Tamandua tetradactyla: one gene and its partners. The protein of the gene in region 1 interacts with the protein of each later gene in a biochemical or structural test. Links are inferred from orthologs where the notes say so. Each region holds a gene or a part of one and is shown in the gene's direction. Other genes may lie near its edges.

What was found.
Region 2: the proteins of UBE2I (region 1) and MITF form a complex in vitro, tested with the Homo sapiens proteins (2 studies listed by BioGRID). The link is inferred for Tamandua tetradactyla from reciprocal best matches to the Homo sapiens genes UBE2I and MITF.
Region 3: the proteins of UBE2I (region 1) and RBBP8 form a complex in vitro, tested with the Homo sapiens proteins (2 studies listed by BioGRID, with this or other methods). The link is inferred for Tamandua tetradactyla from reciprocal best matches to the Homo sapiens genes UBE2I and RBBP8.
Region 4: the proteins of UBE2I (region 1) and USP36 form a complex in vitro, tested with the Homo sapiens proteins (2 studies listed by BioGRID). The link is inferred for Tamandua tetradactyla from reciprocal best matches to the Homo sapiens genes UBE2I and USP36.

The regions. Positions count from the first base shown.
Region 1 is NC_135349.1:56,133,529-56,140,721, reverse strand, and holds the start of UBE2I (SUMO-conjugating enzyme UBC9), read left to right. Parts: upstream 1-4,189; 5' UTR 4,190-4,281; intron 4,282-4,730; exon of another isoform or gene 4,731-4,796; intron 4,797-7,193. UniProt on the Homo sapiens protein: Accepts the ubiquitin-like proteins SUMO1, SUMO2, SUMO3, SUMO4 and SUMO1P1/SUMO5 from the UBLE1A-UBLE1B E1 complex and catalyzes their covalent attachment to other proteins with the help of an E3 ligase such as RANBP2, CBX4 and ZNF451.
Region 2 is NC_135341.1:14,361,709-14,369,266, reverse strand, and holds the start of MITF (microphthalmia-associated transcription factor), read left to right. Parts: upstream 1-4,554; 5' UTR 4,555-4,715; coding exon 4,716-4,819; intron 4,820-7,558. UniProt on the Homo sapiens protein: Transcription factor that acts as a master regulator of melanocyte survival and differentiation as well as melanosome biogenesis.
Region 3 is NC_135344.1:60,619,752-60,626,864, reverse strand, and holds the start of RBBP8 (DNA endonuclease RBBP8), read left to right. Parts: upstream 1-4,095; 5' UTR 4,096-4,432; intron 4,433-4,586; exon of another isoform or gene 4,587-4,939; intron 4,940-6,853; 5' UTR 6,854-6,953; coding exon 6,954-7,062; intron 7,063-7,113. UniProt on the Homo sapiens protein: Endonuclease that cooperates with the MRE11-RAD50-NBN (MRN) complex in DNA-end resection, the first step of double-strand break (DSB) repair through the homologous recombination (HR) pathway.
Region 4 is NC_135332.1:71,213,481-71,221,023, reverse strand, and holds the start of USP36 (ubiquitin carboxyl-terminal hydrolase 36), read left to right. Parts: upstream 1-4,537; 5' UTR 4,538-4,700; exon of another isoform or gene 4,701-4,775; intron 4,776-6,947; 5' UTR 6,948-7,115; intron 7,116-7,543. UniProt on the Homo sapiens protein: Deubiquitinase essential for the regulation of nucleolar structure and function. Required for cell and organism viability.

The DNA.
Region 1 (7,193 bases):
TGGGGCTAAGTTTCCTAGGGACGAACCCCAAGTTCAAGGGCTCAGCCTATTGATTTGGTTGTCCCCACTGCTTGCGAGAATATCAGAAAGTCTCCAGATGGGGAAGTTGTATATTTCCCCTTTTCTCCCCATTCCCTCAAGGGGACTCTGCAACTACTCATTTATTCACTGAGTATTTATCAGGGCATCACACCAACCTGGACAAACCAACAAAATCTCATGCCCTATTCAAGATTCCCAGTACTTACGGTGCTAACTAAACTGACCACACAAGTTAAATTAGGAAATACACTACCGAAAGTATAAATTTTGCACCAAAATAAACATCTCTACCTTTAGTCTCATATAGAAGTTGAAGTTTTAAAATATGGACGATAGAACCCCTTACCCCGTCTTCTGATATACCTTAGTCCTATCCAGATGAGCTCCATTCATCTCTCTACTCGATGTCTGATGACTTTTTTAACTTTTTAAACAGTTCCTGTATGTGGTACTGCTGACCTTCACAGCTTCAGAGCTCTCACTGAGTCTCAAGTGTCACATAAATACTCAAAGTTTCTGGACGACCAGTTACATACAAACAGCTCAGTATCTCAGATTTCAGAGTTGCATAGTGGCATTTTTTACAATTGCCCAAAGATAGAAGCAACCAAAGTGTCCCTCAAGAGATGGCTGGATACATAGGGATGACAGTTACATAAAATGGAACATTCTTCATCTGTAGAAAGGAATGAAGTCCTGGGGATGCAACTACATGGATGCAAGTTGAAGACAGCGTGTTGTGGGAAATGAGCCAGACAACAAAAGGACAAATATTGTATGAGCTCACTGACACGGAATAATTAGATTGAGCAAGCCCCTAGAATCAGAAACCAGAATGCAGGCTCCCGGGGGGGGGGGGGGGGGATGGGATGGAGAGCTGTACAGAGTTTCTAGTCCGGACAATAGGGAAGTTTGGCCATGGAAGTTGGTGTTGGCAGTAGCACCCCATGATTACCAGCCCTGGATTCCACATTTGAAGGTGGTTAAAAGGAGGAAACGTTAGGTTGTATGTAAGTTGTTAGAATAATAATGGAAACACAAACGACATAGGACTGTCCGATGTTCACAAGCAGTGAACCTTCATGGAAATTATGGACTATAGTTAATGGGACAATTATAACATTGTTTCATCGGCTGTAACAAAAGCACCACATTAATGCAAGGTGTTAAAAATCGGGAAACTGGTGTGTGTAGGGGGGGAGGATGTTCGGAGACTGTATTTTCCGTGTTATTTTTCTGTAAATCCACAACTTCTCTAGTAATATATACGGAAAACAAATTTTTAAAAAGTCACTTAGAAATTAAAAACAAAAACAAGCAAGCTCCCTGAGACAGGCTCACGCAGGAGGGTTTGCAGAAGGGTTCATTATTTTCCACTCATGACGGATCCACTCCCGTGGACTCCTCAGCTCTGCCAGGAGCAGGGCTAGAGACCGCCCTCCTCCACCCGGGCCTGCGCGCACCGGCCGCTCCGCCTCTGCACCGCCCTGGCCCGCCCGGCGGGGACGCCCCCGGGACCGAGCGGGAGCGCAGGGCCGAGGGCCCGGGGAGGGGCTGAGACGCTCCCCTCGGGCTAGAGGGCTTCCCGGGGAGATAGAGGGGGGCTTGGAAGGGCAACTCCGGAGGACAGGAGCAGGAGCACGGCTGGGTCTGGGGTCTCGGCTCCTTGCGGGCTGGGCTGCCGCGCGGGGGGAACCTCCCAAGTCAGGGTGGGGGCCCAGGGAGGCTGGGGGAGGGGCCGCCCCTCTCGGCCCCTCCCCCAGCGTTAGGTTGGGGGCCCTGCTCCTTCTTTCAACAGATTCTCTCCAGAGCCCTGGGAAGGCGGGATCTGAGGAGATGGCTGCTCCCCAGCTCAGGAGCCCCTCCCCAGCTGCCTTCCTGCGCACCTGCCCCCGCCCCTCTTGCCCACCTGCCTCCTCTGCACACCTGCCCCCCGCCCCTCCTGCACACCTGCACCCCTCCCATCCCCCTGCCTGCGCACCTGCTCCCGGCCCCTCCCCCACCTGCACACCTGCTCCCCACCCCCACCCTGCGCACCTGCTCCCCGCCCCTTGGGCCCCATCTGGGACTCATGCCCAGACCCTAGGCTCAGGAAAGAGGTCCTCTCAGGCCCCGACATGCACCAGGGGGACCAGGTGCCCAGGGCCTCCTCTCGGGCCCCCTCCTGTGCCCCTGCACCCACCCGCAGCGTCCCTTTCCTCTGCCTGTGCCCTCTGATGCCTGGGAGATGAGAATCTTGGGGTCCACGCCCTCCTCCGCCTGCAAGCCCTGGGGCAGGAGGAGTTTTGGGCTGGAGAGCTGCTGGCTCTGGGCAGCCTGCCCCAGGCGCGGTCCTCACTGTTCCACAGCAAGGCTGACGGATGGGGTGCTGCCAGGTCTAAGAACTCAACATACTGGTGCCCAGTGAAGTCAGAATTCCAGATAAACAAAGATAACGTCTTTGTTTAAGTGGGTCTCTGTAACTTCTGGGATGCACTCATACTAAAGAGATATTCACTGTTCATCTGAAATTCCAATCTCACCGGACATCCGGTATTTTCTCTGACGACCCTAACCCCTACGGGGCCCTAATACATACGGGGCAATAGTCCCGGGGCCCTAACACATACGGGCCTACCCGGGAAGCCGGGGAAAGGCGGCAGATAGCCTCGGGGTGAGTCCGACCCTGCCACCGGAGGCGTGTAAGAGGCTGCCCAGGGGCTTCCTGGATCTCCCACCTCCCCGGACCTGCTTCCCATTGGATGGGACGCTGGCACCCACTGCCGTCCTCACAGCCCCTCGGGCCTTCCCAAGTGGACAGAGGCTTGGGGTCCAGAGCTGCTCCCAGAACCCTCAGCCGTCCACGCTGACTGCCCTGTGCCTGACACCTGGGGACGAGGGTGTCTCACAGGGTCCCAGGGACCATCTTGCGTCTCTAAAGACAGACGTCGAGACAGACGTCGGGGCCACCGCTCTTGGACCTCTTCCCGCTGCCAGGTCCTCCCATGATTGAGTGTGCCCTGTCCACGCTGCCACAGGAGCTCCCAGGGCTCAGGGCCCAGGTCTCCTTCACCCCCTGGCATCCTCTCACTAAGCACAGACACGGAGCTGGGGACCCGACTCGCCTTCCCTGCTCCACAACCTTCCATAGCTCCCCATGGCCCTGGGAATCAGGACCCTGCAATTACAACCAGTCTGCCTTGTCAAACAGCACCCCCGTTACCCTCAAGGCCCCCAACCTGGCCCGTGCTACCCACTCCGCGCCCCACGGCTGCGCCCGGCCCACTTAGGCCCTGGTCTCTCCTTCGTCCAGCAGTGGCTCTCTGCTGGGTACCTTCCGCGCGTAGCCCTGTGCTAAGCTCCTGACATCCTCCCATGGAAGACGTGCAGTCCACAACCCCCACGGCAGCTTAGCCCGGCGGCCATGTGCTCCCCCGGGCATGTGTTTACAAGTCCGATTCCCGACCACATGGGGCTGGGGGAGAAGTGCAGACATGCACGAAGCTGGGGGCCCGCGGCTGGGCCTGCCCCTCCCGCCCAGGGGAGGCAGCGTCCCCGGCCAGGCTGTGCTCGGTCAGCGCGGGCCACCGGCGTGAGCTGCCCCGGGGAGCTCTGAGGCTGCGAGGGACGTGGAAGGCCCACCTGCTCACAGGGCCGGCCGCTTGGCACCACCCCAGCCCCTCTGCAGGCCCGGCCGCCACTGAACCCACCCAGGCCCCCCTCCGTCCTCACTGGACTCCCCGGAGTCACAGGTGCCGGGGGCACAGGGACTTCACCCCGGGGCGCCCCGGGCACTGGTGCCTGCGGGCATGAGGTGTGGGTCACCGACTAGGCCCTGCCTCGGGGAAGCCGCGGCCTCGGCACCACGGGCTCGGGGGAGGGGACCGGAAGGAGAGAAAGAAGGAGGGAGGGAGAAGTCCCTCCCCGCGGCCCAGCGAGCCCCTCCGCACGGGCGCCCCGCCCTCCCCCCGGCTCCCCTCCTCCCAGGGCCGGCCCCCGGCTAGGGAGCGTCCGCAGTTCTCCTCCGTCGGTGCCGCCAACTTTCGGCCTTCTGTACGGCGTCAGCCCATTGGGTGGATTCAAGGGACGCCCCGCCCCGGGCCCCGCGGTGGCCAATTGTAAGGACTTTGACAGGGAGCTGAACTTGGGGGAGCGGCACCGGTCTGCGATGCTTCGGGACGGCCTTAGGCCTCGGTGGTTCCTGCTCCCCGGACCCGGGCGCTGACCTCAAGGAGACCTCCGGGACCGGCGCCCGGAGAGGTGTCCACCGGGCATCCGGGGAGCCCTTGGCGGTCTCTGTCCCGCGTTTCCCCCTCAGCTCGTCGGCGCGTCCGCCCGTGGACGCGCACCTCCAGAAAGGGAGTTTGTCGACGCTCCCTGGTTTGCGGGACGCGGCTCCTTTAAGGGGGCAGGTGTCCAGAGTGCGGCCTGACTGGAAGTTCGTACTCCTCCCGGGCTCCCAGGCCCGGCGCGAAGCGCGAGCGCGCGGCGGCGGGACACGGGCAGCAGGCGGCGCGGGGCGGGCAGCGGCGGTGGCGCTGCTGGGCGGCGGCGGCGGCGCACGGGGCAGGCGCGCGGCGGGCAGCCCGGCGCCAGGCCCCGCCCCGCGCGCCCCGCCCGCGCCGGGGTCCTCGGAGGTGCTCGGGCTGCGCGCGGAGCGGGCTCCGGAGGGAAGTCCCGAGACAAAGGGAAGCGCCGCCGCCGCCGCCCGCCGCCCGCGCCCGCTCGGCTCCTCCGCCTCGTCGCGACGCTCACCGGGGCCGCGGCCGCCCGAGGTGAGCGCGGGCCGCGCGCGGGGCGGGGCGGGCGCGCCGGGGCCGCCGCCGGGCCGGCCGGGCCTGGCCTGGGCCGCGGGGGCCGGGCAGGCCTCGGCGGGGGCCGGGCGGGGGCTCGCCGGGGCTCGGCGCCCTCTCACCTCTGTGCAGGGCCGGACGGAGGGTCCGCCGCGCCGAGAAACTTCGTCCCGCCTCCTTCGGGGGAGCGGCTGCGGCGCGGAGTCGCTGTCGGGCAAGCTTCCCCGAGCCCCGGCGTCCCCTCGGCCTTGCGGCTGCGGTCTCACCGCTTTCCCTCTCTGCCCTCGCGGGCTCGGCAGCGGCTCGGGGATGCCCCTGGGTGCTCGGGAGAGCGAAGAGGAGCCCGCAGCTCCGGCGTTGGGAGAGCGGAGCACGGAGCTGCCGGGAAGGCGAAGCGGCAGGACGTCCACCCCAACACGGAGCTTTCGACGGCCGAAGGGGAATTCATTTCTGGGGCCACAGGGCCGGACGACAGACCTGCAGCACTTTGCAGCCGCGGAGCGAAGCCGACAGCAGAGTTGAGAGCCTGGGATTGCTAAAAACGCTGGCTCTTGGGGAGCGGGGTCGGTTTGGTTCTGATGTCTTCATCAAAACAAGTCTCCGTTTTCTTGGTAAAAAGACGTTCTGTGTGAAGCCGATGGATCACGCCGAAGATTAGCTCTGCACTTGACGGAGAGTTCTGTTTTATATTTAAAGTTGCTTTGTGCTGATTGTATGGGGTTGAAAGTAGTAGTTAACCTGAGTGAGAAGGTGAGAGGAGTCGTTGGCGCGGAGCATGGTCCGCGGTCACCGCAGGATCCCTGTATTAACTTGTTTCGTCTTTATCATCCTAAGTTATGTTCAGTTCCTTAGTTTGCAAAGTTACTGTGACTTTTCCCTCCCTTTTGAAGATGATAGCTTTAAATGTTTCTCGTTATACAGAAAACGTTGCCTTTATTTAAAGAACCTACCCAACAGAAAACAGAAATCTGGCTTAAGTCCGTTGTGGTTTGCTTACAGAGAGATTCGTTTGCTCTAGCCCTTTTGAGTGGTGATGGGGTGAATTCTGCCTTCTTGTGTGCCTTTGCTGGCTGGGGTGGAGTCTTGGGACCTTGCTTCAGAAACAGGGGTGATGGGGGGAGCATGGAGGAGGTGCGGGCAGGGTGACAGGGTCTGCTCAGTGCAGGTCGCGTGGGGTTTGCAGAGTTGTGCCCCGCCTTGTTCCAGAGGGTGTCCCAAGCATACAGGCGCCTGTGCTTCCTTCAGTTATCAGTTCATCCTCTCCAGCCTTCCAAGGCCACAGGACTATCACCCTTCCTGCAGATGAGTACATTGAGGTTCGGGGCGATAAATGTCTTGCCCACGCACACACAGCAAGTGAGTCGGCTCTGAAGTCCGTGCCCTCAGCTGGCAGAGTTGATGAAAGGTGCACCCCTCCTGGAGCCCCGGAAGAAGTGGGGGCAGGCTGTACCTCACTGCCCTGCCCAGCGAGCACCTGGCCTTGTCCGGGGGTGGGGAGGGTGTGCTTTGCGGGTTTCCAGCACCTTATAGTTTGTAGGGTTTTATTTTCTTTGGCTTTGCATCATCTAACGTTCCTTCTCTGAAGCACCTGATAGCACTTGACTGCTCAGCCAGTGCCTCTCATTTCTGAAGGTAGATTGAGATGTGGAAGCTTATCATCGAAATGTAACAAGTTGACTGTTTTCTCCTGGAGGAGAGACTGGTAGGAACAGGAGGCTGCCTGGGACAGACACCTGTGGCTCCTTACCCTAATGGCCAAAACATTCTTTCTGGTGTCTGATCTGGTCTGTCAAGGTGGGCAAAGGTGAAACAGATTGTCCTCCCTCACAGGGGGGCTGCAGGGGTCCTATACGACCAGCCCCTGGTGTGAGGGTGCTCCAGGGCACAGGACATTTCAGAAGCAGCCAGCTTAGGACCGTGGCTCTGGTAGGCTCTAACGAGGCCAGGGCCTCGGTTGGAGCTCTGTTCCTTGTCAAATCAGAAGAGGGGCTTGAGGTGGGGTCCCAGCACAAGGTCGGCGGGCAGGTGGCCCTAGAGAGCATCCTGTTGGCTTCTCCCATGTGCCTGCCTTGGGCCCAGTCCCTCCAGAACAAACTGAATGTCCTTTTGCCCCCTTACAGTGTCTGTGGCTCCCTTAAGGACCCACCTGGCCTGGATGATAGCTTAGAGGCGGCTGGTCTTCCCTCACCCAAGTTCTGAGCGTATTAACTGAGCAGATGCCAGTGCTCTCTGCTCTGTGCTGGTGCTGGATGGGGAGCAAGCTGCAGAGGCCTTCCCATGAGCTCCTGTCTTCAGGGCACCTGCATGGGCAGGCAGAGTGGGGAGGCTGGGCATGCAGTGCCCCTGTGCACAGGGTCTGGGAGAAAGGGGCACCCCCAG
Region 2 (7,558 bases), on another chromosome or scaffold:
TACCATCTATGTGCTGCTTAGCATTTCCTGCCTTAAGTGTAGTTTTTCACTGTGTTATCAGTCTTCATTCAGTTCATAGACTGTAAGCCTCTTAAGGGCAGGAAGTAGTTTGAGTACCTAACACAATGCCATGTCCAGAACATGGGGCACATGTTCATTGCATAATGAAACAGTGACCTTTGGTGTCTATTCTCGCAGGATTTTTGTGAGCTCAAATAAGAGATGAATGCGAAAAGCATTCTGTAGAAAGAAAAGTGTAACATAAATATAGATAATATTACCAATGAAAATACTTATAATTTCTAGCTGTTCCTTTTGTGCTTTTAATAGGCACAGTTCTCAGTTGAAATGAATAGAGCTATGGACTTTTTTCTTCACCAGTTTTCAGATGTGGCCCTGCTCCTAGGGTTCAATGCATTAATGAAGAGGGATTACAGGTGCTATCGATCAGGTGACCAGCTTTTTGTTACATGGATTGACGGTGTGGCAGTCCATAGAAAAATGTTCCTTTCAAGGAGTGAAAGGTTTTTTATACGAAGTACTCAAAGCTCTTTTGGTTGCAAGTGGCAAAATTTCCAACAAAAACATTTTCGGCCAAAAGGGATTTTGTTTTGGTCTATATATCTGAAAAGTTGAGCGATATCTGACTTCAGGTATGGTTGGAACAAGGCGTAGAAGCAATGTTATAGTAATTTCTCTTTATTTCTCAGTGTTCTAGTTTGCTAGCTGCTGGAATGCAATATACCAGAAATAGAATGGCTTTTAAAAAGGGGAATTTAATAAATTGCTAGTTTACAGTTCTAAGGCCAAGAAAATGCTCCAAGTGCAAGTCTATAGAAATGTCCAACCAAAGACATCCATCCAGGGAAAAATACCTTGGTTCAAGAAGGCCGATGAAGTTTAGGGTTTCTCTCTCAAGTGAGAAGGCACATGGCGACACAGTCAGGGCTTCTCTCTCAGCTGGAAGGGCACATGGCGAACCGGCGTCATCTGCTAGCTTTCTCTTCTGGCTTCTGGCTTCATGAAGCTCCCTGGGAGGTGTTTTCCTTCTTCATTTCCAAAGGTCACTGGCTGGTGGACTCTCTGCTTCGTGGTGCTGTAGCATTCTCTGCTCTCTTTGAATCTCCCATGCTCCAAAATGTTTCCTCTTTTATAGGACTCCAATAAACCAATCAAGACCCACCCAAATGGGTGGAGACATGTCATCACCTAATCCAGTTTAACGACCACTCTTGACTAAATCACATCTTCCAGGGAGATGATCTGATTACAGTTTCAAACATACAATATTGAATAGAGATTATTCTGCCTTTATGAATGGGATTTTGATTAAAATATGGCTTTTCTAGGGGGCATACATCCTTTCAAACCAGCACACTCAGTTTAGCTTGTTTCTGCTGCTCTTTGATTGTGGATCTCATCTAATTCTTTCCCATTTTAGGTTAGCTACCTTATGTGGTCATAGTAAATAGTTCCAGGCTTTCTTCCTTCCAGCACCATACTTCCAAAAGCCAGAGACAGGCTTCCCCAATTGCCTAGCAGAAAAGTCCCAAGGAAGACATCTGGTAATGTTTGGGTACCTGTCCATCTCTAAAAGAATCATGTGGTTAAGGAAATGGGGAGTTCTGACTGGCCAGTGGGAGTCTCATGCCCACTCCTCTTAGGTGGTAGATGGCACTGCAATCGAAACCCCTGCTACATGTAATGGAGAAGTTTTCTTGAACAGAGGAAAAAAATGGAGGGAAATAGCAGGTATCTGTGTGTGCCTCAAGACAACCTCAGAGCCTGCACCCCAGGCATCTCTATGGAGGGTGCCCCTAGTTGGAGGTAAATTCAGGAAGTCTCAGCATTTTTGACAGGTTTTTCTCCATCACCTCTTGTTCCTTAGGTCTGGTAGGCCACTGTTCAACATAATGAATGACGTAATGGAATGTTTCATTATGCTTCTAAAGAGGTTATAAGCTGCACTTCTAATGCAAAGCTCTCGATAGCTTTCAAGTATTCAACAGACCAAAATCAAGTATAGAATTTTGTTTACATTTGTGTTTTCTCCAGAGAGGATGCATAGCTTTCCTCAGATTCAAAAGCTTCTAGTGAGCCAAAAGATTAAGAAATCCACAATATTTCTCAATGGGGGTACCACTAACATTTGAACAAGAAAGTTCGTCATTGTGCGCAAAATGTTTAGCATTTCTGGCCCATATCCCACTAGAATGCCTGTGATACCCCCAAGTTATTTTGACAATCAACCCTTCCTCCCATATTCCACATGTCTGTCTAGAGTTGAGACCCCAGGTGAGTCTAGGAGTCCAGATAGACTGAATGGACCCTTCATGTTTTTCCTTCTTCTTCCTTCTGGCAGGGGATAACACTTCTTCACTTTCAACATCTGACTTCCAGGAGTCTCTCAAAGAATCAGAGATCCCATATTCATGGGCATGAAAAGCCTATTTTCCTCAGGAGTGCTTTGAAGTATTCTGTCATGTTTTAATGGTTATAGTGAAGGACCTAAAAGTAGTACTTTGGGCACCAAATTTTATTGTGGGAATTTGGAAATCGCTACTGCAATACAGTATACCTTCTGTACTATTTCCAAATTTCCTTAAGATCCCTAGAGATCTTTTCTGATTTGAAGCTAAAATGTTCATTACACAAAAAAAGCAGGTACTCTCTGTTAACTCTGCAGGTAAATTTACTGCTCTCATCCCTATGTGGGACATGACTCCCAGTGGTATAAATCTCCCTGGCAATGTGGGACCTGACTCCCAGGAATGAGCCTGGCCCTGGCATCATGGGACTGAGAAAGACTGCTAGGCCAAAAAGGGAAAGAGAAATGAAACAAAATAAAGTTTTGGTGGCTGAGTGATTTCAAACAGAGGCAAGAGGTCATTCTGAAGATTATTCTTATGCGCTTATAGATATCCCTTTTCAGTTTTTGGTGTATTGGAGTAGCTAGAGGGAAATGCCTGAACTATAATCTGTAGCCTTGATTCTTGAAGATGACTGCATAACTATATAACTTTAACGGTGTGACTGTGTGACTGACACTCTCTTTATCCAGTGTATGGACAGGAGAGTAAGAAAATAAAGACAAAATATAAATAAATAATAGGGGAGATGGGATGTTTTGGGTGTTCTTTTTCATTTTTATTTTTATTCCTATTTTTATTGTTCATAGAGTAATGAAACTGTTCAAAAATCAAGTGTGATGATGAGTACACAACTATATGATAATATTGTGAACCACTGACGGTATAGTTTGGCTCATTATATGGTATGTGAATATATCTCAATAAAATTGCATTAAAAAAAAAACAACAACAGGCAAATGGGCAACTCCTGGGAGATGACCAATCATTAGTCTAGACTTTTTACAGTTTTGTTCTATGATGATCATAAGCTCATTACCTCTGAAAGGAGAAATACACAGGTGAAATGCCAGACTGAGATAAATGTCTTCAAGATATAATGAACGAAAGAAAGATCACTGAGTATTATTTTTATAGATTACAAAATCACTTTCTCTTGCAAATCTCCTCGTTTATAGAAGAAGAAATTGAAGCTTCTAAAATCAAGTGACATGCCCAAGATCACACAGTGTTTCTGAGCAGGACTTGGGATTTGATTCTGGTTTTTTAACTTTAGATGCCATCCTCTAACTCTATACTGCCTGTCTAATGCATTAAAACACTTTTAAAAATAAGGAACATCTCCTACTAGAACTACTCAGAGGGAAGCGCTGAAAGTACAAATGAACCGTAATCGATTGAAATTTTTTTTTTAATGTTACCTGAGTGTAGAGAAGTTCAGGAGGAGGTTGACACTTGGACGGTTTATATAGCCCACAACTTTATTCTTGAAATGTTATTACGATCTCATTTGAGTTCCCAGACAACGGAGAAATTAAAAACAGACAGCGCCAACGCTGTTTTGCAACTTAGTGCTTTCTTAAATCAACCGGACTTTAAAAGTGCTGCTTTAAGATTATAAGTGGATAACTGGATAAAGAGGAAAACAGCTAGATGAATAATATTCTAAAAGCCCAGACCAAGCTAAAAAAAAAAGAACGCATGAGAACAATTTCTACAATAATGCTTTAATTACTAGGTGAAAGTTCCTCACTCTGTTCCAATCCGAGGACAAGTTGACATGTCGCAGCAGCCCATGGAAGTCTGCGGGCTGATAGGAAGTTCTTTTATTAAAGGCAAGCTTGAACGCTAAAACTTCCTAGTGCCAAAACTTTTTGACGTCTCCTCGCACATGTCTGAGCTGTGGAAGAGCAGGGATGAAACCGTTCTTATTAATATAAAATAGTCAATTATGTACCCTTGAAGCAAATGGGAAAAGGGAGAGGAGCTGCTGACATTGACAATGAATCCAAACAGGAGTTGCACTAGCGGTGTCCACCACGTTGCCTATCCACCCGCCTGGCCTTGTGGGAGCTGTAGTTTCAGCTGGAGCAGCTCCCTCCGCGAGGCCGGAATGCCCCACCCGGGTCGAACTACAGATCCCAGACAGCGCTCGGCTGCCGGCCCCTCCCGCCCGAGTGCGAGTGTAAACTCACAGAGCCCTGGCGGGCGGCCGCGCGGGTAAGCGGGCTGAGCTTGGCACTGTGCCGGGGCGCACCGCTCAGGGGACCCAGGCCCTGCCACCTTCCTTGAGCCCCCTGGCTCAGTTCTTACTTTCGAACTGTGGAAGGACGAGAAACGGGAGCCATGCAGTCAGAATCCGGGATCGTGCCGGATTTCGAAGTCGGGGAGGAGTTTCACGAAGAGCCGAAAACCTATTACGAACTCAAAAGTCAGCCTCTGAAGAGCAGGTGAGTAGTGACAGCTGGAGGGAGGCACGGCGGGCGGCTGGGGGGTCCCGCGCCTCCCATCCTGGGCCAGAGACAGCTAGTTGCCCGGGCTCTCGGACAAGGACCCCGTGCCCTTGCCCCCAGGCAGAGGGCGAACTACCCCTCGCAGCTGGGGCCGCGCCATCCCGGCCCGTGCGCATCTGGGGATCGGTGCGAGCGCACTCTGAGGGGCGCCGTGGGTCGCCGGGGACGACGGGGGTCACGGGGACCCTCGATAGGGGATGTCAGCTGCTGTAACCAATTGGGGGCTGGGGAGAGACCCGCACGGAGGTGGGGGAGGAGGAGCGCGGGGTCGGGACACTGCTCCGGGGAAAGGGGGTGAAGAGGGGGTGCAGTTTCTAGTGAAACCCTTTTCTGAAGATCCTCGTGGGCCGATTGCTGGGAAAGGGAGATTTTGAGATAGATTGAGACGCCACGGTCGGGGGAAGCAATTAGCTTGTCGGTTCTTAGGGAGACTGGCCTCTCTCTCGGAGGAACCCGCCCCTGGCGAGTCTGGGAGAGTTTTCCCGGGGCCCCGCCTCTCACCTACCTGATCCGCTGCGCAGAGAGCCAAAGAGGCTGGGGGCAGCAGGTGGGCGTGTCTAGGTTAAACTCACTGGAAGTCTCGTCCATATCCAGGCCTTCCCTGGAGAACAAAAAGCCTTAGGCCTGGGACATAGTGGGGGTGTCTCCTGCCTGGCACCAGCACCCATTTACTTTGCTGTGGACTTCAGAAACTTCAGAAGGAGAGTGAAGATACCTGGTTGGCCTGGCTTCTCACCACCTCTGATGCCCACTTCCTTTGCGCCGCCCTCCTTTACTATGTCCATTACCACTTGCCAGTTGGAATGGGTTGGGTATTTTCCTTTTTGTATGCCCTGTGGCTGTTGCGGACCCCTTGGACCTCTCATTTCTGTTGTTTACTGAGAGGAAGTATGGTCAGTTGAGGCTATGAGAGCAGAGAAGAATTTATTTCCACCTCCCCCAACTCAATTGCGTGATAAGACTGGAAGCTTTTAATTGAGCTTCTGCGCTCATCTCAGACCTTGCTGTCCAGCCCTTAACTCTGGGTAGGGCCTGGGTGAATGGGCCTGGTTGGTAGACCGGGAAGAAAGTTGGAAATCAGGGTAAATGAGGAAGGGAAACTAAATCAGGAGCGAGAAGGTATAACCTTCACATTGGGAGAGCACATTCTGGTACTTGGTTTTGCAGATGCTGAAGCAGCCTCTTTGCAAATGCTTACGGGAGATTGGAAGGAAATGTCCTATGCAGTTAGGAGGATAAAACCAGCCTTTAGTTGGTGGTTTCTCTTCATAATGGCTGTTTTGTGTGTGTTGGGGGCTGGGGGTTTTGGGTTATATTGTGTAAAGGGTATTGTTGCTTATGCTCATTGGGGCTTTATCTGCATCTGCCTAAAGGGACCAGTGTTTTAGCAAGCGAGCGCTCCCCGCTTTTGCTTCTATAAGCAAATGCTTACATGGCCACAATGAGGGAGTATGCGTGCGTGTGTGGGGGGAGTTCTAAAAAAAAATGAATTAACTGGACTCTTTGGAACATTTTTGATGATAGCTGATACATAACATTAAATTAATTTGAGAGAGTGAGGAAAACGCCATCTGGAAAAACACAAATGAGTGGCATGAAACTCATGGTGAAGGATTTGGGCCTGTTCTTTTTCAGAGTCGGCAGAAATTTATGTGTAAGGGTGAACATCATCGTAGCTAGCTAGCTTGTGTAAAGAAAATTGTGGGGATGTGGGAAGAAATGGCTTCACACGTTGAAGCTAGAAACAGGTGTGGGACAGAACCGGTATGGAGAGAAAGGCTAAATTAAAAAAGTTGTTGCAAAACTTGTGTGTGGAGCAGACACATGCTATTTGAAATAAACCAGTTAAATAAAATCTGCGAATAAATATATGGGGTTGGCAAAATTTCCCTATACTGTTTTCCACAGTTTTCTAACGTATTGTCATCGACATCTGTTGTGTCACTTTGAAAGGGCTATACGTTGTTCAGGATCTTGTTATTGCTTTTTGTCTTAAATCTTTGCTGGGGTGCCTCACTTCTTATAAGTCTTGGTCAGGAAAAATGTTGAAACTAAAACATTAACATTGCTGTAGCCATTGTGTCTATCTCAATTATTGTATTCTCCGGACTGAATCTCCAGATTCCCCCAGGAGTTGAAAATGCCTAGAATCTGCCCACTTCTCCACCAACTCCTCTTCTACCCCGTGGTCCTCACCACCATTAGCCCTCTCCTGGATTCTTGCAGGAGTCCCTTAATTGGTGTACTGCCTTCTGCCCTTACCTGCTTTTAGTGGATTTTCAACACAGCAGCCGCAATGTTCCTGTTAAAACTGATTTCCCCCGGGGACAGATTTGCCTCCCAGGGAACATTTGACAAAGTCTGGAGACAGTTTTGGTTGTCACTACTGGGGATATGGGAGTTAATGGCCTCTAGTGGGTAGTGGCTAAGAATGCTGCTAGATGTCCTACAATGCAGCGCCTCCCCACAGCACCCCATCCCCGTCCCCAACAAAGAATTAATCAGCCCCAAATGTCAGTAGTGCCTAGAGTAAGAAACCCTATGTTAAAACATAAGCAGGATCTTATCATTCTCTGTTCAAACTCTTCCAATGACTCCTTGTTTCTCTCAGATAGACTCAAAGTCCTTAACATGGCATAAGACAGGCTATATATATGGTCAGGCTCCATGTCAGCT
Region 3 (7,113 bases), on another chromosome or scaffold:
AGTAATTCCAAGAGAAAAGGACCGTATGAGCCAAGACAAAGAAATAGAAGAGGGGAAGAGACAGGAACAAAAGTAGTTTTCTGTTGATAGAGGGAAAGAATGAAGTGTGAGGTAGAGTACACAAGGCTAAAAAAGGTTTCTGCAACATTTTACAGGGATTAGGCATTTAACCTTTAGGCAACAGAGAATCACTGAAGCGTTTTAAGCAGGGGAGTGCCAAGATCAGAAATATTGGTTTCAATCTCTAGTGGCTCTGTAGAGAGACTGGATTAAAGTGAACAAGATTGGAGGCAGGGATGCTACAGTATAGGTAAGAAACACTGGGGCCTCAACTAGGGCAATATGAATAAGGAAAGTATCAATTCAAAATTATATTTAGGAGATAACGTCAGTAGAATACAGTGATTAACTTGTCCTGACTCCATAGAAATAAATTTGGATTTTAGTCTAAGATGACAAGAAGAACTTGGAATGTTCTGAGCAGGGGAACGTCATGTTCTAAAGTTTAAGGGATCACTTTCAACGCTGCCAGAGAGTACACTATTTGGGGAAAACAGTGGAAGCAGAGAGTTGACCGAAAAAATACGAGGTTGCTGCTGTTAAAGAGGTTTGAGATGACTGTGGCTTGGACCAGAGGCAAAGATGGTGATAAGAAACAAGTGGATTCAGGCTGTATTATCTGCAAAATAGTATTGCCTAATTCACAGGGTTGAGAAAGGAAAAGGGAAGTTTAGGAAGATCACATCTGTTGAGCCCTACCTGTTGTCTTGTTTAACCAGAAGGTTGGATTGTCTGCTAAAAGAACACTGTTCAGGAGCTTGAAGAAAATAGTGAAGGTTTGGAAAACACCAAAGGAAATAGGAGAAGAATCTGAACAAATGCTATTTTAAAGATCAACTGATATCTACATGAGGTTTGAAACCAGTAATAAAAGCGTTACCAGTCTAACTTATGTGATTTTCCCTTCATGCTAAGCTACCCAGTTGTAGGAGTTAAGTACAGGTTATAGAATCAACAAAGAATTTCATTTTTAACAGCCTAAGTTAGATGACTTTAAAATCTACATGAGTTCCAAAATTCTACAGTTCTAACAATTTTTAAATCAAGCATCCTAACCAGGGGCCTCAAATGGGTTATAGGTGTGCTGAGACCGTTAAACTCCCTAGCCCTAAGGGTGGAAGTGCTGGGCCTGGGGAAGACCTCTGACCTTTTATCAAAATATGTAATACAAATATTCATTTTCTAAGTATGCCATGATTGAAAAAATTGGGATCATTGTTTAAAGTCATAAACTATAGGAAAACCAATATTACAAAGAGTTCAAAATAATTACTCCTCAGTTTAAGGACGTTTTCTAAGCAAATCTTTGGGTACTTCATAATTTATTCCACCATACGGGTCTTAAAGCTATTTGGGAGGAGTAAATATCTATGGATATTTCTACTGTTAAAGTGACCATTATAAAACTTTAAAAAGATAATCTAGGAATTTTGAAAACACCCAAAGGTTTCCACATATATAAAAAACAGAAATCCATCCAGAGATTTCTCATTCATTCATTTATCCACAAAGTACTGATTTTAGGCAGGCACTGGGTTGGTTTCTGGAGATAAAATGATGAACAAGACACGGTTTTGACCTCAAGAAACAGTATAGTGAAGAGAAATAAATTTAAATAAATGACCATTTAAATAAACCTGTGATAAATGAAAAATGGGGAATCCTGTGCTAAGTCCTACCTGTAAGAGCACCTAATAGGAGAGACCACTGAAACAAGATAAAAGGATGAACAGTAATTAGCTAGGCAAGAGGACGGGCTTGGTCAAGAATTCCAGGTATAGGGAACAGCACGCAAAGGGCCTTTTGCGTAGAAGACTAGCTCTCAAGACTCTAAAAGGCCAATGAGGCTGAAGGCAGAGTATATTTGGAAATGAAGCTGGAGATGCAGTAGAGGCAGTTCAAAGTGACTTTCTTCACAAAGTAACAGGAAGCCACTGAAGGGTTTTAAGCAGCAATAATGACATCAGATTTACTTTCCAAGATCACAGTAGATGTAATGATCTCAAAGTGGACACAATCTTAGGTGAGAGAAGGAGTTAATATTAAATTTCTATTCTATTTTTCTTATCCTCTAAAAATATGTTATAATATTCAGTCTATTAGCTCACAAGTACTAATAATGGCTACCATTTATTGAGCTTATACTATGTTTATGGGCACTACTAAGCGGTTTTACATACATCAACTCAGTAAATCTTCATAATCTTGTGAGGTTGGTACTATTATTATCCTCTTCTAATAAGTAGGAAAAATGAGACACAGAGGAATGAGGTAACTAGCCCAGGGCCACTCCGGAAGTACTGGAGCCAGGATTCAAATCCAAGAGCTCTGACTGGCAGAGACTGTGACTCAGACTATATACCATCTTTCAGCAATGCATGCGTGAAATTTTTTTTTTCCCTGCATGGGCAGGCACCGGGAACCAAACCCATGTCTCTGGCATGGCAGGCGAGAATTCTGCCTTCTGGGCCACCATGGCCCGCACCATTTGTGCAATTTTAAATTATATATACATATATGAATTGGGAATAGATGCTGACAAATTTTTCTGAACATCACTGAAAAGAAAAGTTTAGGTAGGGTAGTTAGTTGGGTAGAACAGCAAAAGACTAGGTAAGAGATCATGGTATCTTGAATTATCGTGGTGATGGAGAGAAGTGCATGGATTTGGGAGATATTTGGTAAGTACAATTAGCAGGACTTGGTGATGGACTGGGCAGAATAAGGAGGTTAAGGCAGTAAAAGGTGTCAAGGCTGAGTCTTTGGATTCTGACTTTCATAAATGGGCTGGACAGTGGAGCCATTGGCAGAGGACAGAGGAACAGGTTAGGTCATTCCCCTATGATGGTTTTCCTTTGGACCACAAATACAGCCTTCTGTCCATATGCTGTTATCTGACAAACTGGTTATAGACTTTTTCCATTTATTACAAAAACGCCCCAATTCCACCATAAACATTTATACAAGCTTCACTGCCCATTATTCCTCCTATGTGGCCTTGAAAAATAGCATAGGGAATTTTTTCATTCATTAAAAGTGTTATGAATTAAGTCATAAAATTTAGAAGTGAATAAATGATGGTTCCCATAACAAGGTAATGAAGGTTCACCAACACATTTTAAAAATACCAAGTATGGCAGTGCCAGAATGGTGCGTCATGTCCCATTACAATGTCCAATTTCAAGGAGAAAGTTGTTACTCATCTCTTAAGAGCTAGGATGAGCAGAAAAATTAATTTTACACTTTCTATTTATTATTTTCTAAACATTACTTAGAAAACAAGTTTACAATACTACTCTGACCATTTCCCATGCTTAGAAGTATTACAGAAAAGTACTGGAGTAGTTTTTAAAATGTTGTGATTCTAGTTCACCGTCTGTTTTCTTCAGTTTCATTTGTAAAATTCCTAATGGTCCAAAACCGCTTCTGTTAGAAAGCATGATAAAGAGTAAAACATACCATCAGCTTGAATATCATAAAGAAGCATCCATAGGAAAAACTGACCTTATTTTAAACATTACCTAACAGCAAGTTGTCCCAACAAATAATGCTGGTCACTTCTGATTCCTTCTCTTTTCAGGTTCGCCAGAAACTTTCAACTTAATCTCAGCAAAATAAGTCTCGTTTTAATATATGGAGTTTTGTCAGGTTATAACATTCAGTTTCCAAACGATAGGCAAAGCTACAACGCAGAAACTACGGATTGATCCGTGTCCGTTCCCCATCAGTTCATTCTAACTTTCCGTTTGGTACAGGTCACTCACAGGCTTTCCTCGAAATTTAAGTCAGATACACCATAAGGTACCTTGCACCTAACACCCGGGACTTAAGGCTCTCCTGACAGAACGGCCTGAGTCGTCTCCAGGGAATCTCAAAGACGCTTTGGCGTGGCCCGCCCTTTGAGCCGCTCCCGAAAGCCAGTCCTAGTCCACCTTCACCCGCACACGCTCTGCCTCGTCCCGTGGGTCTGGGGGCGCAGCCAGACTCCACCGCCGGAGGAAGGGGCGTGGCGCTGCGAGAACTCCCGCGCGACGTCGCGCGGCCCCGGGCGGGACGGGTTCGGCCACCGGTGAGCTCAGCCCGCGATCGTCGACTTTCTCCTCAACAAACCGCGGGCTGGGAGTGCCTGTCTGGTGCAAAAAGAGGAAAAAGCAAGCGGCCGTCTCTTCACAGTCCCCGAAGGCGCCCGCCTCCCTACTGGTCTTTCGAAAATTTCGAGGCAGCACTGGGAGCCGTGGGTAAGGGGACGCTTCCTCCCCCTTTCCCCGGTCGTAGCTGCTACTTCCGGTCGAGGGTGGAGCGCGCGCTAAGCGCCGGGGTTTACTCCCGGGGTGCGGGAGCGTGTTGCGGTTCTCCGACTGTGCCCGAGGAGGTAGGCTGGGGCCAAGGTGAAGTCGGCCCACGGGCGCCAGCGGGAGGACGGGCCCTTCCTCTCCAGCTCCCTTGGTCTCCCGCGCGGGCTGAGGAAACGCCTCCCAGCGCCGAGCCCGCCCCGCGCCTGCGCTGACTACGTCCTGCGCCTCCGCGCGCGCTACCCGCGCCAGTCGCACTTGGCAAAAGCCCGCCGGGTGTTTTGGGGGGACCCGTCCGCATAACTCGCGCGGCACCTGAGGACAGGCGGATAGCTAAGGGGCCTGGCATAGGAACCCGGACCTCTGCTTTGCTCAGATGACCCCTCAGATCTCCTGCTCAGTCTGTCTAGGTCTCCTGTGTGATTCGAGGCGCGTCCTTTGCCCCACCTGTGTGAGAATACGTGTGGTGTGACAGGAAACAGATATTTTACTAAGAACCTTCAGCTTGGTGGCTTACACTGCCCGGGGCGGTGTATTAAATTTTACCAAATTATACAGACGTACGAACCCGGATTGCCACTTGGGAGGTAAGGTGGACATTTCTGAGAAGTTAAGGAGCATCGTCCTATGAGTAACGGTTCAGGGCACTAGGAGTGATGCCAGTCAATACTGGACGTTGCATCATAGATTGGGGAGGTTTTCGTGAACCGGAATTTGTAAGTTTAGTATTAAGTGTTTTAATGGTTAAAAAAAAAAGCCACATAGCCCTTTTTTTACTGTCTAAATAGAGAGGGGTTTCTTAAAGGAGAAGTATTTTATACTCGGTTTTAAACTAATACTATGCTGTTCTTTTAACTAGTTAATGAAAAAATTTTCACACACACATACACCTTTTTTGCCACAAAGAGGAATTATTTTGCAGTTATTGGTATCACTTGTTTCAACCCGGACATAGCCATGTAATCCTAGCTGTGACCATGAGGAGGTCGCAAATGTCTGTATTCTCTCTAAAATGAAATTAATAATAATAACTTTTATAAAATTGTTCGGAGGATTAAGTAAAACGGTGAATGTAAAATGGTACAGTCCGTGGCATATAGTAAATAATAAATGGTAACTTTTATTGACGGTAATACAGGCTGATTATTTTTTTAGTGTTAAAAATAGTAGAATACAAGCCTCTTTGGAAACAAAGCTGTGTTAATGCAGTGCATTTAATCTCATTTTAAAAAATTGTAATGGAAAATATAAACATACCCAAGAAAGAAACACTAGAATTATGGACCCTCTCATATATCCATTCATCATCACCCAGCTTTAATAATTGCCAGTGCTCAGCCCTTCTTTCATCTCCCCATCCAAAATCATTTTTTTGTTTTAGCTGGAGTATTTTAAAACAAATCCCAAACAATATGTCATTTACCTGTAAGTACCTCAGTATATACTCCTTAACAGATTAGGACATTTAAAAAAAATTCTATCATACACAAGAAATGAGCAATAAATTCCAAATATCTGAAATCAAGTACACATTATTTTCACTCATTGTCTTAAAAAAATCTAATCCCAGTTTTTTAAATGCTTAATAAAAGTTAACTTTTATTTCTGCGGTGCTTTATAATTTAAGTGGCTTCACACAAAACCCTTCTTGGGTTAGAAGACCATAGCTTATTTACTATGTTACTCATTTTCCTTTTTTAGTAGTAGCTTCTTAGTGGCTTCAGTTTAAAGAACACATCCTAAAATAATTTATTAATCCTCTTGAACTTCTTAATACCCTGTCACTTTCTTTATTGGTTACACAAGAAATAAAAATTAATCATTCACCATTACTTTGACAGAGGCACGAAAGAGCTTTACCTTAATTGCCTTTCCCTTCTATACTTATACAACTTTGTTGTATATGTATTTTGCTCACTGACTTATGAGAAAGCTATCCAGAGCCCATTTGTATTAATACATCAGTCATTAGTCTTGCTCTCTTATAACACATATATGTCTATATGTATATAGATATGTATATACATGTTGGTACTTGTTAATACAAGAATATTTCAGAATGTTTTCCAGTTTGGGATTCGACATATTGCTGCACCTTACATCAATCCAAAAATTAAAAAGCAATATAGTCTTTTAATGTTAAATCAGTACTGACCATGGTTAATCAAGAACCTCTCAATAGGGCAGTGCAGCAGTGGCTCAGTGGCAGAGTTCTTGCCTGCCATGCTCGGTTCGTTTCTGGGAGCCTGCCTATGCTAAAAAGAACCTCTCAATATCAGGATCCTTTCAATTTAGCGTAATTTAGGTAAAATTTAGCTTAACTAAAAAACGAATTACTGAAATCAGGGCTTCTTCTCACTTTAATCTTCCCTCATTTTTCCCTCCCTCCTTTTAAAGTGATGAATTGTAGGTAAATAAAGAAAACATGAGGACAGCTGGGCTTGTGTTTTGTCCTTGAGTAATCATGCAAAATTCATTTGTGTTGTAATCTTTTGTTTCAGATATATCAATGGTCTCCACAGGCAACTTCATATCTATATAATGTAAAAGAAAGGGTCAGAAAATATTAGGCAAATAAAAGTGTGGAGTATATTAAGCAAGATGAACATATCTGGAAGCAGTTCTGGAAGTCCTAGTTCTGCAGATATATCTAATGACTTCAAGGAACTTTGGACAAAACTGAAGGAGTATCATGATAAAGAAGTACAAGGTAAAATCTTTTCTCAAATACTGATGGTATTTTGGAAAACTGTTCTAGTAA
Region 4 (7,543 bases), on another chromosome or scaffold:
CCTACTCTAGCCTGTGTCAGCAGCACCTCTATCAGTCCAGCCTGACCAGAGTCAGGGGCTTTGGAGAAGGAGGTATTTAGGTATCTCTAGGTGTTTCAACTGAAATGTGCCCTGGGCCAAACCTATGACTCTACTCACTTGTCCAGTTAGGCCACAGAGTTGCTTTTGCAATTCAGAGGTGGTGTGTCTGCTGGGGGTAGGGTGGGGTGGTGGGGGCTTGCAATTCCAACAGCATCCAAAGAATGCAACCATCCTCTGGGCCAGAGGCCATGCCCAGGAACACTCTTTTTTCTGGCACTGAGAACCCACAGTCGGTGTTTCTGGAATATTTGTGGAACAAGTGAATATGAGCAGGCTTTCTAGCATTTTGATCCCTGGGCAGGGGTGCAGAGGCCTTAGTTTCTGCCTGTGGCTGGTATTCCTTGGCCTGTGGCCACATCCCTCCAATATCTGCCTCCATCTTCACATAGCCTTCTCCCTGTGTCTCTCTGAGTCTCTTCACTTCAACTTCTAAGGACACTCTAATTCAGTATGACCTTTAACTTGATGACATCTACTGAGACCCTAATCCCATATAAGGTCACAATTGCTGATATGGAGGCTTAAGACCTGGACTTATCCTTTTAGGGAGCTCAGTCAAACCCACTGTAGGGAGCCTCCTGCCATGGTCCCCTTCTACCTCCTCCTTTCCCAGGTAGCCTCAGGCACGGCAAGGAGAAGATGATTGGGCCAACTATGTACACCACCCAGGGCAGAGATGGGGAAAACAGGGGTCCAAAAGCAAGGTGGCATGAGACTTAAAAGAATTGAAAATGCAGACTCTCATCCTGGAGGCCAAACACAGAAAGATGAAATGCTTCCAGAGGAACAACCCTGCAGAGTAACACTGTATCCACAGGGGTAAACCGAGGGGCCTGTGCCCAAAGAAACCCACCAAACCCCGCAGTACCAGCCATGCCAAATGCATAAAGCAAGAGGCCATGGAGGGTGAGTTTTGAGGAGTGAGCGTGCATTTGTCAAGAAGGGGGACAGGCATCACAATTATCCAGCAGGACATTCAATTTACAACTGAAATGTGACACAGGTTTCTCCAAAGATGAGCACAGCTCTTGAGGAGGTCTATGGACACACCAGGCAGGAAAAGTAAAAGTGAAAGCTGAAGTCCACTTTACCTTGACATCCAAGGCAGGAAGTCCCCGGGTCGCTTCTGGAAAACGAGGCTATTATTCTGTGAATGAGCTTTTTCTTGGAGTTAGCACAACAATGCATTCAATTTTGGTTATGATTTGCTTTGTTTTGTTTTTTTTATCAAGAATATTTTAATCTTTCATCTTTGGTATTTCTCTAGTTTTCTCTTTCAAGATTTAGAGAGCATCCACTTGTCTCTTCTTGAGCATTTGCTTTTCCATTTGGTTTGGTCCCTCAAATTTTTATCTTTGCTGCAACATGCCCAACCCAGAGATACGCAGATGAGTAAGACTTGAGAATGAATTAAGAGTCATAGTGAGGGGTGGGCCACAGTCACTCAGAAAGCAGAGTTCTCGCCTGCCATGCCAGAGACCCAGGTTCAGATTCCTGGTGCCTGCTCATGTGAAAAAAAGGAGTCATAGTGAGGCAGGGAGGAAAAGGCCACCTAAGCTTCCAACATGTAAGTGGAATGTGCAAGTCTACCGGCGGCGGCACCTAGTCTAACCTAATGGCAGGGACGCTGAGAATCTCGGAGGGCTTCTAGGAGGAGGTAGTGCCCAAGCCAAGAATTGAAGGAATGGAATCCTAGGTCACAGAACCAGCTTGAGCTTGGAGCAGACAACCTACACAGGAAGTGGGGGAGGAGCTCTCTTTTTCGGCTCTGCTGAAAGGCCCAGGGCAGGGAGTAGCTGAACATATGGCACAAGGGGGCCATTAGACCCCAAACTAAGGAGGCTGGCTCTCTGCAGCAGCGTCCGGGTCCAGGTAAGTGTTTCAGACAGGAGAGCACTGCACTCAGGTGTCTAACAAAGTGTACTCTTCTGTTTGACCGTTTGAGCAATGGATCGGAGCATTCCCATAGTGCAGGCAAGCGTGGTGAGCGGCCTTACTTGAGCAATTGGATGGAGAGGACGAGGTCATCGGGAAATATGTGAGAGATAAAATTGGCAAAATTTGTTGATTGATGACTTCCGTGGGGTGAGGGAGAGAGCAGTCTGGAAGTCTAGCCTGGCTGGTGGATGTCGGGGTTTCTGTCTGTTTCAGTCTGGGCCCCAGTTAGGAACATGGAAACCACCCCACATACAGTTTGTGAGATAGGAAGTGGATGCAGGGATTGGCTATACCCTATTGGTACAAACTCTCTGAGAAGCCGACCAGGGAGAAGAGAAGCAGCAGGACGCTGTCCCTATCTCCAGGCAGGGGGACTGCAGGGAAGAGATTGTGTCACCAGAGCCCAGGGAGGGGACATGCCTGGAGGTTGCAGCCACTGTCGGAGACACCATTCAAAACAGAAAGAGGGAGAGAAGGGTCCTTCTTCTCCTTTCCTCTGTCCTCCTGTCTTGCCAGTGCCCCCCAGTGGCCGAACCCAGCTGGAGCCAGCACTCAGTGAAGTCTGGGAAATGCAGGGATCTGGAGTCACCTTCCTGTGACACAGAAAAGATTTAAGAAAGGCAAGGACTGGGTCTGAGCACCAGCACCCCGCCCCAAGCACAGGCAGGCAGCAGAGCTCTCTTTGGGGAGGGATGGAGATGCATCTGTTTCTCGGTATGGCAAGTCTGAGGGATTTGGGGGACATTTCAGGGGCAGATGTCCAGCAGGCAACTGGGTCAATGATTACAAAGACCAGGGGAGAGGAGTGGGCTGGACAGGTAGATTTGGAACTTATCGGACTATGGGTAGCAAGTAGTTATAGCAATGTGTGCTCATTGGGCAGGGGGTTGTTTCATATAAAAGAAACATCCAAACTATTTTCCAAAATGGTTGCATCTTTTTACACTCCCAACAGCAAAGTATGAGGGTTCTAGATGCTCTATATTCTCTCTGACATCGAATCTTTATAACTGCTGCTATTCCAATGGGTGTGAAATGTTCTTCCTTGTGGAAGAACATTAAAAATAAATTTTAAAAAAAATTATTTATTTATTTTTGCATGGGCAGGCACTGGGAATCAAACCCGGGTCTCTGGCATGGCAGGCGAGAACTCTGCCACTGCACCACCATTGCCCACCCGGTCTGTTTTAATTAGTCTTTCTCTGGCGATGTTTGAGGTTGAGCACCTGAGACTTTTTAATTGGTCTTAAGTGACTGTAACACCAGGAATTCTACTCTGAAAACTTCTGGGACGGAATGTAAAGGGGGAGATGGGTAGTAGTGTGGGTGGTCAAAAGCTTTTCCCAATCTCTGGGTCTCACACCTGAGCTGAATGCAGGCCTTTCAACCAATTCCTTTGACACCACCTAAGAACTGAAGGGCACCTCTGAGGCCCTGTAGGAGGCTGGCAGGTCTGAGTTTCAACCCTTACTTCACCACTTGTTTGCTGGCATTACACAAAGTTTCTAATCAGACTACATTTTCTCAACTATAAAATGGGAACAATGATACCTTTTTGTAGGGTTATGAGGATTAAATCAGATAATGTGGGCAAAGTGGAGAGCTCGGTATCTAGCACACTTAATCTGAGCTCGGCAAAGGTAGTAAACGTTGTCAGTTTTATTACCAGAAGTAAAGAGATGTCCGCCTGAGTAATTTAAAACAGGCAACCAGCTAATTAGGGAGGAGGTGGGATAAAACCCAGTTTTCCTGATTCCCCTGCCATTGAGGGTGTTCCTTGCCCCCAATCTTTAGTCATCTTGCACACTGTATCAAGTTCAGAATAGTGAGACCAGCCTTTGAGTCCTTGTTTCAGTCGAAGACTGAAAAAACTGCAAAAGCGGTATGTTTTTGTAAAAACTCAGCCAAGACCTTAATATACAGTTGTCAAGGGGTGATGCTTTAGGAAGGTGGGGTGGGCCTAGGGAATGGGGAATAGTCTCGGGACGCTTCAAAGGGCGAATGCCACCACTTCTTGATCCCTTCATCCGAAAAACCCCTTTTGCCTTGGCATTCCCTGGCTGTGACCGAGCACGATGTCCCCATCACGCACGACTTCGAACTGCAGGTAAGTCCCCCAGAGGTTGCAGACCCAGGTCCCTCCGCCTCTGCACCCGCTTCTCCCCAGAACTAGCCCACGCAGCTGAAGAAGTGAGTGAGGTCAGAACGGCCAGGTGCAAGATAGCAGCACGTCATCAATAGGTCACGAAGTCCCTCCAGGCCCGGGGAGTTGGGTCACAGGACCTTAGCCCGAACCACTCCCCCTGGAGGGGCGTGGGGCGCGCACTTCACACAAAGCATCGAAGGGAGGAGGGAGTGACCCCGGGGCACTCAGCACCCGGCGCGTGCGCCCCGCCCCGCCCCGGAAGTGGAGGCGGCATCACGTGCTCTGCGGGAACTCGCTGCGTGACGATTTTGGCGCAGCGTGGTTGCGTCATTGCGTAGGCTGACGGGGCCCGGGAGGGGACGGTGACGTCTCCCGCGCGGAGCGCGGCCGCGGGCGGGCCCAGGAAACTGGGTCCGGAGATAGCTCCGCCTCTTAAAGTTGCTGGAGCGTCTGGCGTCGGCGCAGCGCGCTGCGCAGGGCAAGGCCTCTTTAAGCGTCTCTGTGACACGTGTGTGAGGCGCCGGAGGCCCGGATGGTGCGTGTGCGGGGCCGCGGGTTGCAGGAGACGCCACCGCCGCGCGGGCCCGTATCAGGCCGACCGGGGGCCGCGGTAGGCTGGGCCGGTCAGGGCCGTTCGCAGGGGTGTCGCCGCGGGGCCGCACCGCGGCCGTGGGAAAGGGGTGGAGATGTTGCCGGGCCCGGGGCGCTGCAAAGGGTGGCGGGGCGCACCCACGGGCGTTCTGAGGGGCCGCGCGCACGCGTCGCGAGGGGTCCGGGGTGTCCCTGCGGAGGCTTGGGGAGCGGGCCCGGGGCAGCGCCGCCCGCGAGGGGTCCGGAGTGTCCCCGTGGAGTTTCGAGGAGCGGACGCTGGGATGCGTCCCCTGTGAGAGGTCCAGGGTGTTCTCGTGGAGGGGCCGGGTGGAGTGCGTTTGTCACTGCGTGAGATCTGCCTTCTCCTGTCCCCGGTGGACCCCAACCAGGACCCAGGGCCAGGAGAGGCGGCAGTGGCCAGCGTCAGTGTCGGGCACAGTCTTAACCCACGAAAGCATCATTTACACCGGATCCCGACCTTTTTTGGAATGGTCAAAGTCAGTCGGAGAGAGCTTTTTGCTTGTTTTCTGTAACTGGGAGAGGTGGGGAGGGCTCCCCCCTGGAGAAGGTAACCTTCCCACGGTCACGGTGGAGGAGGCGGTCCTGAGCGCCGGTACCGGCTGTGGGCTGTTTAAATACGCGTTGCTTCTTGTCGGGCAATATTCGGTTTCCTCGGCCTTCTGCCTGATGGGGTAGCACCCTAAAACCGAGGTGATAGGTGAGAATATCCCGGTGCTCACAGTCCAGTGTCTCTAATGGGTGGCAAGAATCCAGCCTTGAAGGGAAAAGCTGCTCAATTTGCTCTTTTCCCAGCGGAGCCTTGGCGCTCTGCAGAAGAGCCCTGGAGGCCCCTCTCTAACAGCGGTCCCTGGGGAGGCCTCTGCATGCTGCTTCTTTTACTCCTCCCCCAGCAGCACTTGGCTGATGGTGTCACTCTGGAGTGCAGTTCATCCTGGAAAAGTGAATTTAAAGGGGAAAAGGAGAGAGAATGTGCTTGAGTGGTGTTTTGAGGAAGCTATGTTTGAGTAGTCTTGGAGGTAGATAGATAGATAAATAGATATACACATCTCAGAGTAGGAAATGAGTATTGGGTTATTTACGATATTTCAAGTGGAATTGCTGAAGTAAAGGTTGAGCTCTGTCAAGACATTTAGCTCTGCATTCAGGAGCTACTTATGGAGTGGGTGTCTGCTATTTAAGCCCCTTGTCTCAGATTAATTTGAGTTAAAGGCATTTAACTCTCAGAGTCTGTTATCTTCTAGCTACAGGTCCCAGACTTGAGCTGATGGACCCGGTATGACCAAGATCTTGGCTTTCAGTAGACAAAGTAATGATCTTGTACCCTATTAAAAGCTAAATATCTATCAGGCTCATCCTTCATTCCAAGAGCATACTCAGTCTACCATTTTATGTTAGTATGCTTTTATTCATGGGTGAAATCATGTATCTGGATTTGCTTTAAAATAATCTGGGGGTGGGAACGTGAATCAAGATTGAAATTTCATATGTAGAAATTATTGAAGCTGAATAACTGGAGCACAGGGCTCACTATACTGTTCTCTCTACATTTGGGTATATTTGATCGTTCTCACGGTGAAAAGGTATTTCTTAAGTACCTGAATTTTGTCTAATCACAGTGATCGCAGGTAATAGTTTTGTTGTTGTTGTTTTGCTTGCATGGGCAGGCACTGGGAATCGAACCCGAGTCTCTGGCATGGCAGGCGAGAACTCTGCTTCTGAGCCACCGTGGCCTGCCTGCAGATGATAGTTTAAGGAAAAAAAAATCCATACTTAGTTAAGTAAAACTGTGCAAGTCTTAATACCCCCTCCCACCCCACCCCCCTTTTTTTGTTGAAATCTTACTGGTTCATGAAATCCAAAAGTGTAGGATGATGATCTGTTACCTCTTATTCTTTGGAAGTGAGATTTAGACTGGCCAGCGAGTAGAAATTTTGCTCGCTGGAATTGTCATTGTCCCAGTTAAGATGCAGAGCACAGGTATTGGGTTCACTCTGAAGGTTTGTATCTGGTCAGCACTATTCTCCTCCGTATTCTGCTGGATTCTGGAGCTCTTGGTATTTCGGTATTTCGTAACGATTCGTTCCTGGTAGATTCGTAACGTCCACGTTCTTGCGTGGCGTCCGTGGGGAGAAGTCGGCCTCACCCGAAGATCTTGCCATTCATTCCGCAGATTTTCATACCCGTTCCGCAAAAACATTCAGCAGCTTGGCCTTTAACAGGCTGAAGAGCACCTGAATGCGTTCACCTAGCCTAGCACCTGCCCAGTCTGACACGGTCTCTTCCTTGATAACCTGATTTGATGCTGCAGAGGCAGCTGGCCCACATTCACCTGTCCCAGGTAAGCCTGCAAAAGCTTCTGTGTAGTTGTATGTTTTCAACGACCACCTGAATGAGACCCTGCAGTGGTTCTTGAATTGGTGAGCACTCAAAGAAGGATCCCCTGCCAAAAGGATTTTTTATTTCCTTAAATCACAGAACTCATGGATGCTTTTTTATTCTTTAGTTAAGCTTTTTACATTTCTTCATAGAGATTTTTGTAGAAAGAGAAATTGGATCCATGAGCAGAATTAGCTGAATCAAAATGTTTGAATGGTCTCATGAGCTGTTGGAGGAAGTCCTTGCTTTTACCAGAACAGTTTTGGGGTAGCTGACAGACTAGCTGGTTCTTTCCTGGCACGCCGGATACTGGGCACCAGGGGGCGTCATTGCTTCTCTGACCACAGTTTTCTAAGTGTGGCTAAAATGGTCCTTGAGCTTTGGCTAGGA